Mytilus edulis: one gene and its partner. The protein of the gene in region 2 purifies or fractionates together with the protein of the main gene of each other region. This does not show direct contact. Links are inferred from orthologs where the notes say so. Each region holds a gene or a part of one and is shown on either strand. Other genes may lie near its edges. The genes, in order: E3 ubiquitin-protein ligase RNF123-like and nuclear factor NF-kappa-B p105 subunit-like.

Region 1 (7,302 bases), on a different chromosome or scaffold from region 2:
CATCGGACACATTTTTTAAACTAGATACTCTAATGATGATTGTGGACAAGTTTGGATAAATTTGTCTTAGTAGTTTCAGAGGAGAAGATTTTTTTAGAAGATAACAAAAATTGTAAAAAAATTGTAAAAAAATTGACTATAAAGGGCAATAACTCATTTTGGTCATGTTGACTTATTTGTAGATCTAAATTTGCTGAACATCATTGCTGTTAAAAGTTTATCTGTATCTATAATAATATTCAAGATAATAAACAAAAACGACAAAATTTTCTTAAAATTACCAATTTAGGGGCAGCACAACAGGTTCTCTGATTCATCTGAAAATTTCAGGGCAGATAGATCTTGACCTGATAAACAATTTTACCCCCGTGTCAGATTTGCTCTAAATGCTCTGGTTTCAGAGATATAAGCCAAAATCTTCATTTTACCCTATGTTCTATTTTTAGCTATGACGGCCATCTTGGTTGGTTAGCCAGGTCACTGGACACATTTTTTTATGAGAAAAGCTCACTTAGCCCTTCCGGCCAGGTGAGCTTAAAATGCAAACTTTATCTATAGAACTAAAATATCATATAATTCAGAATACATTGCATAAATATCCTTTATAATTTAACTAACACAAAATTTATACAGAGTTATTTTATTTGAGTTCTTATTCTACCTTCTGAACCAGTATCCTGATCTTGTTCTGATCTGACATATATCCCTCCCTTGTATGCTGCTTCAGCCATTTTCACCTGTAAATAAAAGGTATCAAAATCAGACAACTATATTATCATGCACAATTCAATATGTGAATAAGCTGCTTTACTGATCGTGCTTAAATTTTATAGTGAAAGGCTTAAGAAAGATTCAAACAGCTAACACACAAGCTTAACATTATCATCTATCCCTATGTGTGTCAATGTCAGATGCACTTTGACATGTACAATTGTAAACCTTGAATACTTTAATTCATACACTAAACAGTGGCAGGTTGAGATCAACAAAATCGTTTATAACATTTATTGCTACTGAGTCTGATTATCTAGAGCTGCGATTTATTCACAGCTTAATTTGACTTCTCAAACCCCAGCTTCAACATAAAGTTACATGCATGATTTATGAAAACTTAATCATGATGAGTGTATACATAGTATTTAAATCTGTGTAATGTTCATTACTGTAACTACATTTACATGCTTATCAGCTGTTTTCTGCTCTTTGGTCAGGTTGTTGTCTCTTTGACCTCTATACCTCATTTCCATTCCCATTTAAAAAAATTGTCTTTTTAATTTTATACAATATTGCAGGTTTAAGATGGATTGACATGTAAAAAATATGCTGATAGGGAAAGAAATGCATGACCATCTAAAATCAGTCTTTAAAGAAATGGTACAGAAAGAGCAAGGACTTTATCCAACAACAATTTAACTATTTTTTCAATAATATAAAGAAATAATTTTTTTAAAACTGAATGACAAAAAATTTGTCTAAAAAATCCTTCTTTCAATTATCATGAATAAATTGGAATGTACATGAAAGTGGTTTATAGTTGAGAGAAAAATGGGCAAACAAGTAAAGATTAGAAGAAAAAAAGAGACAGAAAAATGTAGAAAACAGTTTAAAGGGGTGATGAACAGTAAAGAATAGAAAACCCTGGGCAAGAAAATAAGAATAGAGCAAATTGGTTAAAAAATATATAAAAGATATAGATAGACAGACCGTGCAACTGCAAGGGCTGTATAGCCAATCAAGGTCATTAAAAACTTCCTCGTTCTCTTTTTCTCAGAACCACTGGCCACTACTACCCATACTGGCATTTAATATATATAGAGAGACAATTATTCAATTTGAATTTCATGGTTGCCCCGAGACATATATCAACACCTCACAGTCATGTCACACACTTAAACTAACTATAGTTGACCTATGGCTTATAGTACATGTATCTGAATGTTGACCAATAAACCATGATATGACATGAAAATGAGGTCAAGCCATGTTCAAATGAACCCAGTCAAACTGATATTGTACATGTCATGTACACCTTTCAATATAAAAAAGAAGCTGTGGTATGATTGGTAATGTGACAAATCCCCACAAGAGACCAAATGACAAAGAAATTAACAACTATAGTTCACGGTACGGCCATTAACAATGAGCAAATCCCATTACACATAGTCATGCAGCTATAACATTTTATTTAAACAAGAAAACTACTGGCCTAATTTATGTACTAAATAACGAACAAAATTCAAACTTTAGTGTAGACCTGTTGCAATTAGTATCCAAGATATATAGTCTCAAACACAAACACTTAGTTAAAATTAATCTCTGGTCAATGACATGTTGAATAGACATTAGTCTATTGACATTTTTATTTTTAATTGCTTTGATGTTGATCTTTTTTGCACCAATTGTTTTAAAGAATGGTTGTGATCATTGTATGTATAATGAATATTATTATTTATTTTAGCTTTGGGCACTATGAGCATGATGAGAAATTAAATACTATCCTTTATATGAAGACTGTATATTGACTATTGTCCCTTAATTTTCTTTTCACCGGATTGTGGTGTTTTTGATTATATGTCATATGATATCTTTGGACAGATTGGGGACAACCCGCCAAATGGGGTCGTTCATTTGAGTTACCATTTGGTAGTGCTAAAAAACTAAATTTTCGTAACTGAGAATTTTATTTAAAATGGCACATACTCATCGAAAATCTCGATTTACTGAGAAGTTACAAGCCTACGAAAACTTGGAAAACCTGATCCCTCCTTATTTTGTTTTGCAGTCACCCTATTTTTGTTTTGTTTTGCAGGCACACTTAACATGCAAAATATCAAATGTTGGCCTAATTTAATCAAAATACATCACGTCGTCTGCTAAACTGTAACACTAACAGTAATTTTGTTTGGACTTTAAATATATCACAACTTTACGACGCAAATTTACTAAATAATGGAAAACTATTTGTCAACATACAACTATAAGATGTGGCTTGATAAATATCAAGTTGTCATAAGTCTATTCATTTTAAAATATTCTTGCAGAGATCACCCTATTTTTGTTTTGTTTTGGTACACTTGACCAGTGATTTGAACCAGGAAGTGCCTAACAACTCAAATTTATTTAACCGGAAATGGTTACGTCTGAAGTACTATTTTCAAATCCATTTCAGCATAAATATTCGACTTGCAAAGAACAAACCATTTTAAGGATCAGAATAAAATTGAACTAAGGATGTTAATCTATCTATTGCAAAGACAAAAAATAAGAAAATATCAAATATTATAATGCTTTTGAGATTACTACGCGTGGGAGGCCATTTTCGCCGGTGTGTGTATTTATCAGCAGATTGAAACCATTCTCACGAAGAATATTCACAATGGATGAAGAATATGATGTTATTGTTCTTGGAACAGGACTAAAGGTATAAGCGTTTGCTAAGCAAATAGATAAGACGTGTAAAAAGACATAAATTCTTGTAATAAATGTCGTTATCAGAAAACAGTCTATCATCAGTCTTGTGTGATGTCATCACTGAAATTATCATGTGTTTTGGTTACAATACACAAAATGAAATGTACAATTTGCTAGATATATTATATTGATCAATCTAATTGCGAAAATGTTCAGAATCCGTTTAATAATAAACTAGCGCTAATAAAGCTGCGGAGTCTGATCTGCCGACATACATTTGGTGTATTGATTTTTGTAAGCTTCAGTAATTAGAAGCCCTTTTATACTCTGATTTATGTATAAAATGTTATAGGCCTGTTAAATATGTCAGTTAAAGCTTGATATAAATAAATTTCGAATGTCTCTTAACATTATTTTTTTTTAATTAAAAGCCACACCCCCTTACTCTATATTGTCACAAATCAAATAATCAATACATTCCATGTATAAGAGTCAGCATCTTTATGGTTTACTTTTATAAGGAGTTATTCAATAAACAGCTGACACTTCTGATTTAAGTTGACACAGACTTAAATCTGGTTAAGATCAAGTGGACATTGTCATGATTGTCATAAAAATAAAACAAGTTATCAATAACAAAAAGTAAAAACACAAAAATACTGAACTCCGAGGAAAATTCAAAAAGGAAAATCAAAAATCAAAAGGCAAAATCAAAAGTCCAAACACATCAAACGAATGGATAACAACTGTCATATTCCTGACTTGGTACAGGCATTTTCTAATGTAGAAAATGGTGGATTGAACCTGGTTTTATAGCTAGCTAAACCTCTCACTTGTATGACAGTCGCAATTTTATGTCCAAATTAACATAAAATAACATGAATTTAATAGACAATATTAATTTGAACTAGTTCATTTGCATTAAATGGTTATTGCATACAGTATTGAGACAATTAACTGACAAAAAAATATTAGAGTGACATTGGTATTTAGTACTATTTACAGAGGAAAAAGACCACATAGCTCGCTGCTGTGTATTGACAGTTAACCTACATGTAGTAATGTGAACATTGTAAATTTATGAGAGTCTATGATTGTTACAGCTTAAATTTTACATTTTATCAAACTTCCACTTGTATGATAGTTTTTTCAGTAAAAATATATTACATTGTTACTGATCATGCTGATTGTACCAAACCATACTAATTCTTAATAAGCAGTACAACTGTAGCTTCTGTAACCGTAACAATTTTTTTGTCATTTAAAAAATAATCTTTCAAATGAAGTATCTTATCTGGTTATCTACAATTTATGCTTGTACAACCATACCTGTCAACTGACCCATATTCTGCAGGTGTGACCCAAGATTTTCACAACACCCGCCGGGTCATTGAAATAACCCGGGAATTCCGAAAATGACCCGATTTCACCCGTATTTCTTAGCCTTGAGATTGATTTCATTAGTAATATTCCTTTGAAATACTGGCAAATTCGTAATTCTTCCATGAACAGGAAGTTGATCTAGCTATGTAAACTGTCAAATTAAGTGACCCATTAAGTGCATGGCTTCACTTGACAGCTTTGATGTCAAACACACTGTTAATTAACACCAATTACCTTAGCTTTAGGTCGTAAAATAAATTGCACCATTGGTTTACAAACTGAACTAGAGTTACTTCCCCTTATTTGTCACCATTCAAAATTATTCCTTATATTTACGTTTTATGGGTGAAAAAGATTAAATCATAAAAATATAAAATTCAAATACATATTGAAAAATAACTTTTCATTATTTTTATACCTTTATACAATTTTTTAAAAAAAGTTGAAAATTATTTTTTACATTTATACTTCCTTTAACTGTACTACTATATTTTATCATAGTCTAATTTCCTTGGTAAATGAAAAAGTAATATGGATCAAGGCTACATAGTCAATAGTCTCAAACATTTAAGATTTGCATTAAATTCTAGTGTTTGATGGTTGTAGTATTTTTTCTCATAAAGTAAATAAGACTGAGTTACACAAATTTATAAAAATCTTTAAATGTGCAATGAAATAATATTTAATAAGATTTAAAATGACTTAACAAAGTGAACATGCATTGATGTTTTGGTATCTGATATACATTATAAGAAAATGTACCATAAATACTGAAATTCAGCTCGAAAAAGTTCGTACGCGTTATGACCTGAGATTTGATTCTTCAATGCAGGTCATGACCTGCATTTTCATCGTCACAGGTTGACAGGTATGTACAACTGCTTAAATATTTTACTGTTGGTTGCCAAGTGGTATGGTCAGATCATGTTTTTGTACGTCATATGAATTCTTACTTCTACTATGCATGCTTTTTCAATGGAAATTGTGATGTCACAATGCATTCTTAATAGCACAGAAACCCATGAGACGAGGATACATGTATAGTCTCAAACATCTATTCTGTGTCGGTATATGTAACAGACAAATCATGCTCCATAATATCAAATAAAATATTATATAGGATAAAGCACATAATAAATATGACTTGGTGTAACCCAAATATACAGCATTCATGTACATGACAAATGATAAAAATAAAACATAAAGCATAACAATTGAAAATTAATAATGTTGGAAGAAACTATTTTTTGTTTGTTTGCCAGATTTTACCATCTTACCAGTTATACATGAATTTAACTTCTTTTTTTTTTAGGAATGTATCATAAGTGGTATGATGTCAGTTATGGGAAAGAAAGTTCTTCACATTGATAGGAATTCTTATTATGGAGGTGAAAGTGCATCAATCACACCACTGGAAGATGTAAGTATTCATGTGGGAACCGTTTACTCAATATGATATCTGACCAGTGGTCTCATTAGCCCAATTAAGAATGGTGTTATGCTTTTGATGTCTGTAGCCTCACATTTTTGTCCTTTTAGTCTAATTTAAAAATAACAATCATTGTGAGTTGTTTTTTTTGCTGTAAAGTGCAGTAGAGATTACTTAAAACATGGTTTAATGAATTAACATACATGTATTTATTAAGTTGAATATTTTTGTATTTGGATTAAATTTTTATACGACCGCAAAATTTGAAAAAAATTTCGTCGTATATTGCTATCACGTTGGCGTCGTCGTCGTCCGAATACTTTTAGTTTTCGCACTCTAACTTTAGTAAAAGTGAATGGAAATCTATGAAATTTTAACACAAGGTTTATGACCACAAAAGGAAGGTTGGTATTGATTTTGGTAGTTTTGGTCCCAACATTTTAGGAATTAGGGGCCAAAAAGGGCCCAAATAAGCATTTTCTTGGTTTTCGCACTATAACTTTAGTTTAAGTTAATAGAAATCTATGAAATTTTGACACAAGGTTTATGACCACAAAAGAACGGTTGGGATTGATTTTGGGAGTTTTGGTTTCAACAGTTTAGGAATTAGGGGCCAAAAAAGGGCCCAAATAAGCATTATTCTTGGTTTTCGCACAATAACTTTAGTTTAAGTAAATAGAAATCAATGAAATTTAAACACAATGTTAATGACAACAAAAGGAAGGTTGGTATTGATTTTGGGAGTTTAGGTCCCAACAGTTTAGGAATTAGGGGCCAAAAAGGGACCCAAATAAGCATTTTTCTTGGTTTTCGCACCATAACGTTAGAATAAGTAAATAGAAATCTATGAAATTTAAACACAAGGTTTATGACCATAAAAGGAAGGTATTGATTTTGGGAGTTTTGGTCCCAACAGAATAAGGGGCCCAAAGGGTCCAAAATTAAACTTTGTTTGATTTCATCAAAATTGAATAATTGGGGTTCTTTGATATGCCGAATCTAACTGTCATGACTGTGTATGTAGATTCTTAACTTTTGGTCCCGTTTTCAAATTGGTCTACATTAAGGTCCAAAGGGTC
Region 2 (7,157 bases):
CCAAAAAAATCTTCAGGATGTTAAAAAAACATGATGTTCAACATATATTAAATAATTTTAACAAGTAAAATAATTTAACAGATTAATAATTTTTAAAGAATTTACCTGTTTAAAAACTGAGTAAGACGAACAATTTTTCTTACTTTTTACACAAAAATTATACAAATAAACATGTAAACACAATAAAATACACCATGTTCACTCTAAATACATTTGTATCTGTTTTTATGCCTGCAGCAATGTTGAAAATTAATTTCCTTCATTTACTTTCTATAGACAAAAATAAACAGGAGTAAATAATGTCAAGATGTCTAACATGAGATTGCTGGTATAAATCTATTTACCTTTAAAGTTTCTGACACAGTTGCTGGCCATAAACATTTTATTCTTTTATTTGCTATTTATTCAGAAACAGCAGTCAAAAGGAAAAAATAAACGGCAACCATATTTGTACAATATAAATCTCAAAGATAATTCAATGTATTGCTTTTAGTTCAGTTTACATCTCATACATTTATTGAGGATATCTTTTTTTATTTCCTGTTCCTAAATACTTAAACGATACATTCCACTAACCTATGCTGGGCTACTTCTTTAATAATCACGCCTACGATATTTCAGATAAAGAGGAAGTTAAAAATTTTGATTCAACAAAAGTAACATTTAAGGACCATATCTTTCTGTTATCAATATCTCATCATATTTTATACAATGGAATATCAAAGAAACTTCAATATAAATATATATACATTAAAAATTAAATACACGAAAGAGTTTTAAAAGCAGCATTGTCTAGCGCTTTCATCAATCTTGGGACTTTTCAAGACTATGAATGTCGCTATGGGGAACACAAGCTTAATGCTTAGTAGTTACATGAACAATAACATCGTGTCATACTACTTTATATGTTATGAACAATGACGTTACGTCATAATACTAATGTGTTCCCCATAACAACGTTCATAGTCTTGAAAAGTCCCAAGATTGATGAAAGCGCTAGACAATGCTGCTTTTAAAACTCTTTTTGTGTATTTAATTTTTAATATATCATTCTGTACACCGCTTGAAAAGAAACGTTTTTTGAATATATATATATACATATACTATACAGAAAAGCCTAATATACATGTAAAGGACATTCAATGATTCATGGAACTAGTCAGAGATTGCTCTGAAGTCTTACAGCCTCTTTATAGGACTTGCTGGGGCCGTGGGACAATGGCCCGAGAGAGTCCCGAAAAGGTAGTCAGACATCAGAGCAGTCTCAGAATACCATTACCATGACTAACTCAGGACCAAAAAAACAGACCTTATCAGAGAAGAGGACTTTGAGGTAAAAAATGCAAAGTCTACAGCAGGACATGAAAAGGTTGGATTAACAAGACAGGTCACATACCCTTATTGAAAAAGATATTTGCACCCCAAAAAACAATTGAACATCAGAATCTTTAAACAAAGATGACAATGTGATTAAGTTATTGTTTTTGAAAGGCTGATACCAGTATTCAATTCTATCAAAAATAATGAAACACATTGTATTTGATGTAGGCACTTGTAAAACTGCAGTAATTTTTTTTCTTCTTTTTATGGACACCAAATACATTTGCACGCCCTTTCTCTAGTGATAATTTCTGTAGTAAAATTTTGTTAACTGGTTCTCCTACAATATATTCTTTTTTCCTTTTCTTTTAAATTATGGCTTGTTTAATTATATAACATGTATAATACTACTGAAATTTTCTCTATATTTTATTTTCAATCTCAACAAGAACCAACTACAGTGTTCATATCTTCAGGTTCACACAACAGGTAAAATTGAAATTATTTTTGGTCTTATATCAATTTCCTTTTAGAACCCTGGACAAAATGCTAGAGAATAACCAGAAGCCTAGCTCTAGCTCCTACTTGAACTACATTTTAAGACTGACGTAATCAAGACTGAGTTTAAATAAAAGCTTTCAATTGAATTTATATATTCCAGGCTGTTAAAACTTGAAACTAATTTCAAAACTGAAGACTGAGTACCAGTTTAATAAAACAGTTCCCTGTTCTAGTAGAGATTTTCCTCATTTCCATAGTTTTGATCTAGTTTAAACAAAAGACTACTTACAAAACATGTTTGGATTAATTTTAATTTAACTGCATTGAACAGTGCATTTTACCTTTCAAATTATATAATTTATTCAAAAAGTGATGTGACTTTGTATTTGATATGATTGTCTATAGCTACCTATCGGGATAAGATACATGACAGAACCTGTTATTGACTTTATATCAACAAAAAAAATCTTTATTCACCTTTTAACCACATAAGGAACTAAAATTATACAATAGAGTGTATACTTCATGTCATACAATCAGCTCACTATATCTTTTCCAGAAAAACACACACAAGTCACAATGTCCTTTTAAATGGAATCTTCTTATCATTTGTTAAGTTATCTATCTTATAGGTTACTATAACGTTTATTTTATGTCAATTTAACTTTTAACAAAAATCAAATCGTCTCACAGCACAAAAGAAATATACATGTTATAGCAGAGCTTTTATATATCACAGATCCTACCAATATAGTGTTTTAAAAGGCATCAATGAGTAGTTTACGTAATCTGTTATTACAGTAACTTGAATGCAATTCTATGAAATTATAACCCTTTTTTGTTCTGTAAAGATAAGAAGAAATGTTATAATTACAAATGAGACAACTCTTCATCAGAGACCAAAAGACGTAGAAGACAACAAGTACACATTAACAACTATCATGACTATAGGTAACCATGTGGATTTCAACAATAAGCATAACAATGCCGCATAGCAAGCTATAAAAGATGCAGAAATGACAAATATAAAACAATTTATATGAGAAAACTAACGGCTTGAATTTTTGTACGAAACAATCATAGAAAAACAAGTATAACAGACAGCCACAAATGAAGGCTCCTAACTTTGGACAGGCACATACATGACATAAAGAATGTGGGAGGGTAAAACAAAAGTTTGCAGGTGCCTAACCCTCCCCTCCCTCTTACCTAATGGCGACTTATGCCTTTCTTCAATCTGCATGATTATTATTGCGTAACTTTACCTATCAACTTCCTAATCATCTTCCTTCCTACATTCAATCTATTTTAAGCTTATAGTCCTAAATATAACTTTTTGGGCCTTTCCAATTTTTGTATATATGGTATTTAAAGTACATTAATTATCTTATTTCAGTGTTTCGTCAATAAGGTATTGCAAAATGTTTGTTCTTCCTTTGAAGGCTGTTTTTTACATGTAAAATGAGTCTTCGTCCTCTTTTTTGTGTCTTTTAAACTTTGGGAATAAATTAGTTTCTTATAATTAACAATAGTTTAACTTATTCATCTATCAAAAACTCAGTCATTGTCAGTAGAGAAAAATAAAAGTTAAATAAATTGAGAATGTGTCCACAAGACACAGATGATGCCCCAACATGCATAATACATTATAAAGGTAACTAACTTGAGAACTGTAGAAGTGACGCCACCCAAATTTGAACTTGATCTGTGTCTATGCAAATATGTGTTGTGTATTCTTTTAATATCATTTGGTTGAAGTAAATCAAAGTTAGCTAAAGGACAGAAACATTTGGGAATGGGGCTTAAGGTGGTACCTAACACTACAGGGAGATAACTCTGTAAAATCAGCTAAACGTTTTAATTACGTTGTGTTGTTAAGGGAATATTAAGCTTCTCAATGATCAAAATAAGTGTTTGTCAAACTGCTATATAACCAGTGTAATTTTTCTGACAAAACGGTTTGTTCAAATTTTTTGAAATTTTTATATTTTTGTAAAAGGGTCAAAGTAAATACTTTGTCAAAATTTTGAGAAAATTAAATGACCCAAATTAATTTTAGCTAAAGTGTTGGGTACCACCTTAAACAAACCAACAAGGAGAACATTTAAAAAAAAGCTTTGGTATGCATGTTTTAGTGTTTAGATTAAAAATGCATTTTTTTTAAAATGCAAAATGCATATTAAAAACACATGATTGAAATGAAGCTGCTAGAGGCACTCCTCAAAATTCTCCAGAAGCATACTTGTATATATATATATTCTTTATAGTCAAACTTGGTACAGGCACAAAAAAAAAGGTGCGTTTTAACAATTTTACATGCTCACAAATTTCCCTTTTGCCTTTTTCAGGTTACTGAATGCTGTAAAAGTAAAACACAAAATAAACAAGAATAAACCTTAATAGGACACAATTCCAAACTAGCACTATCACATTTTCATGTTCAATGAACAGCAAACCCGGGTATTACCCTTTTTATTTTGGCTTACAATTGTTTTTTAAATTTATATCATAATGAACAGGTGTACTGGGTTTAAAGTATATATATGATCACAATTTCACGGTAAAATACCTTAATCTGATGTAGGACTGAAATTTTGTCTTCATGTGTAATCCTCATTTAGTGTTACCAAAAAAATAGCTTTTTCTGATATCCAAGCATAATTTAAACATTTTGAATGGTGTGATATTTTGTCTCCTGTTTAAAATATTGTGCATCTAAATACATTTTGACACAAGGAATTAAATTGAGATATTATCACCAATGTACATTGATGGGTCATTTAACATTAAAAAAAAAATAAAATGAAATGACAAATTTAAATAAGCAGCTGCGTCGTGAGGGCCTGTCAAATTTTCAAAGAATATAGTTCAATTACTTCTCAATGCCAAATTAGAAATTTGTGAAAATCACAAGGGAGCTTACTTTAATAGAGATAAACAATTCACCAAAGGTTCATGAGAATTGCTGAAAGTATTTGTAAGTTATTATCATCCGAAAACTGAAAAATTCCCCCTTTTTTATGAATAAAACCCCATTACTCAGAAATGTAAAATCTAAAATTTATAAAATTCTTAAGGGGGCTTACATCAATAGATATTTAAACAATTCACAAAAGTTTCATGAGAACTGCTAAAGTATTTTTGACTAATTGTCTGATAACTGGAAAATTCATCTTTTTTGCAAACAACATGTACAAAACCCTGTAACTTAAAAAATCTAAAATCAAAAAAATCAAAAGGGAGCTCATGTTATGATATTAACAACTTGACAAAATTTTTTGCAAGTTGGTGAAATCATTCTTCAGTTATTATCAGAAACTTGAAATTTCCCCCTTTTTTAATGAATAAAACCTCATAACTTGGAAACATAATTCTAACATTTATAAAAAAAAAAAAGAAATTGAGCTCACGTAAGTATACTAATCTTTGCAACAGCTCATAGTTTACCAATCATGCAAAGTACACCTATGTTATAACAGAAAATATATTCCTGCAATAACATAAGGGTGTTATTACAGTTTCTCTATATCTCTTTAGAGGCTTTGCTCAGACTTGCATAACAATGTATTTCAATTCATTGTAAGAAATGTCAACACATTTTGTGTCAATAGATATAAACAATTCACCAAAGTAAGCAAAGTTTTATGCAAATTTATTAAAGTCTTTTGGAGTTAATGTCCAACATGTTGATAGTGGACGGACGGACAGACAACAAATGGTACCATAATACGTCCTGTAAACAGGCATATAAAAATGTAAGTAACTATATTTTTTTTCTAAGAATTCACAACTTGTTTTGATAACCACATTTATTTCACATGTAAAATTATGGGTATTATTTCAACGGGAAATCTATATACATGTACATGTAAGTCATGGCAACCAATCATGTAATAAAGTGCATGGTTTTCAAGATTTTAAAACTAATTCTGTAAACAAGCATTATAAAAGCCTATGCATAAATAGTGATTTGTTGAACATTTAAACATGTAAATTCATGGTAAAGATAACTGTTAGTACACATGTTACAGTTACCCACACATAAGTTAGAACTGAAAAAGTAAATGAAATCACATGCAGTAAAAATAATCAGTGTTTGTGTTAACCCAAATAGAAGATGCTACAGTCTACAGCCTTTGTGCCCTTAGACTTCTGCCCCCCCCCCCCCCCCCCTCAAATGCCCTTGTGCTGTTTTGGCAATGTTACTATAAACATTGCCATATCGGGTGATATCGCGTGTAATATTTCTTGTCAGAAATTAAATTATATTCAAGACACCTGATGATTGCCCTGAGGTTTATAATGTTGTAAGAATCAATTAAGGTAGATAAGACTTCTAAGGTACAGGTAATTAACTATTGTCTACATGTAAAAATTGATTCTTAATTTGATGAATGTGGCAACATGTGTTTGGTCATGAGGTCAGTGTGCCAGAATCAATGTTCAATTTTGCTTTTGAGCAATTGAGTATGCTGTTGAATAATGCCCTAAAAAAATAATTTGAAGAAATTTTCTTATTATTTCTAAAATCTGAAATGAGAGAAAAAGTGTAACCCCCCACAAATTCTTATTTACCCCCCCCCCCTTTTTCCAATTTGTTTTCACCTCCCCTTCCCCTTACTCCAAAAATAATCTCAATTTAAATTTCTAATGGAGTTTGCAACAATACATGTAAGTACTCATTAAAATATTAAAATACAAGAGGCTGTCACAACGACAGCAAACCGGATTTATTAACATTTATTTGTGTCCTGGCAATATCACAAGAACCATTACTGATGAATGATGAAAGTGAAAATCATCAATATCAAATTTGACCTCCATTTTGTCATCAGTATCAACATGTTAAAATTTGAAAAGCTTAGATTGAATGGTTTATGAGTAAATGTAACAACGTGAATGGAAACGCCATTTTACGATCTTTCAAGAACCATAACTCCTGAACGGTAAAAGTCAAAATCGTCATTATTGTACTTGACCTCTATTTTGTCATCAGTAACAACATATGAAAATTTCAAAAGTTTTGGTTGAATGGTTCATGAGAAAATGCACGGACACGACTGGAAACACCATTTTTCAATCTTTCAAGAACCATAACTCCTGAACGGTAAAAGTCAAAATCGTCATAATTGAACTTGACCTCTATTTTGTCATCAGTAACAACATATAAAAATTTCAAAAGCTTTGGTTGAATGGTTCATGAGAAAATGCATGGATATGACTGGAAACACCATTTTTCAATCTTTCAAGAACCATAACTCCTAAACGGTAAAAGTCAAAATCGTCATAATTGAACTTGACCTCCATTTTGTCATCAGTAACAACATATTAAAATT

The links.
Region 1: the proteins of nuclear factor NF-kappa-B p105 subunit-like (region 2) and E3 ubiquitin-protein ligase RNF123-like purify together in Homo sapiens (affinity purification with western blotting; 4 studies listed by BioGRID). This does not show direct contact. The link is inferred for Mytilus edulis from reciprocal best matches to the Homo sapiens genes NFKB1 and RNF123.

The regions. Positions count from the first base shown.
Region 1 is NC_092344.1:2,885,356-2,892,657, forward strand, and holds the start of E3 ubiquitin-protein ligase RNF123-like, read right to left. Parts: upstream 3,140-7,302; 5' UTR 2,974-3,139; exon of another isoform or gene 2,923-2,973; intron 768-2,922; exon of another isoform or gene 738-767; 5' UTR 732-737; coding exon 662-731; intron 1-661. Other genes in the region: rab GDP dissociation inhibitor beta-like, read left to right, coding at 3,377-3,421, 6,107-6,214. UniProt on the Homo sapiens protein: Catalytic subunit of the KPC complex that acts as E3 ubiquitin-protein ligase. Promotes the ubiquitination and proteasome-mediated degradation of CDKN1B which is the cyclin-dependent kinase inhibitor at the G0-G1 transition of the cell cycle.
Region 2 is NC_092352.1:47,167,504-47,174,660, forward strand, and holds the start of nuclear factor NF-kappa-B p105 subunit-like, read right to left. Parts: upstream 3,152-7,157; 5' UTR 3,106-3,151; coding exon of another isoform or gene 3,087-3,105; 5' UTR 3,065-3,086; coding exon 3,031-3,064; intron 1-3,030.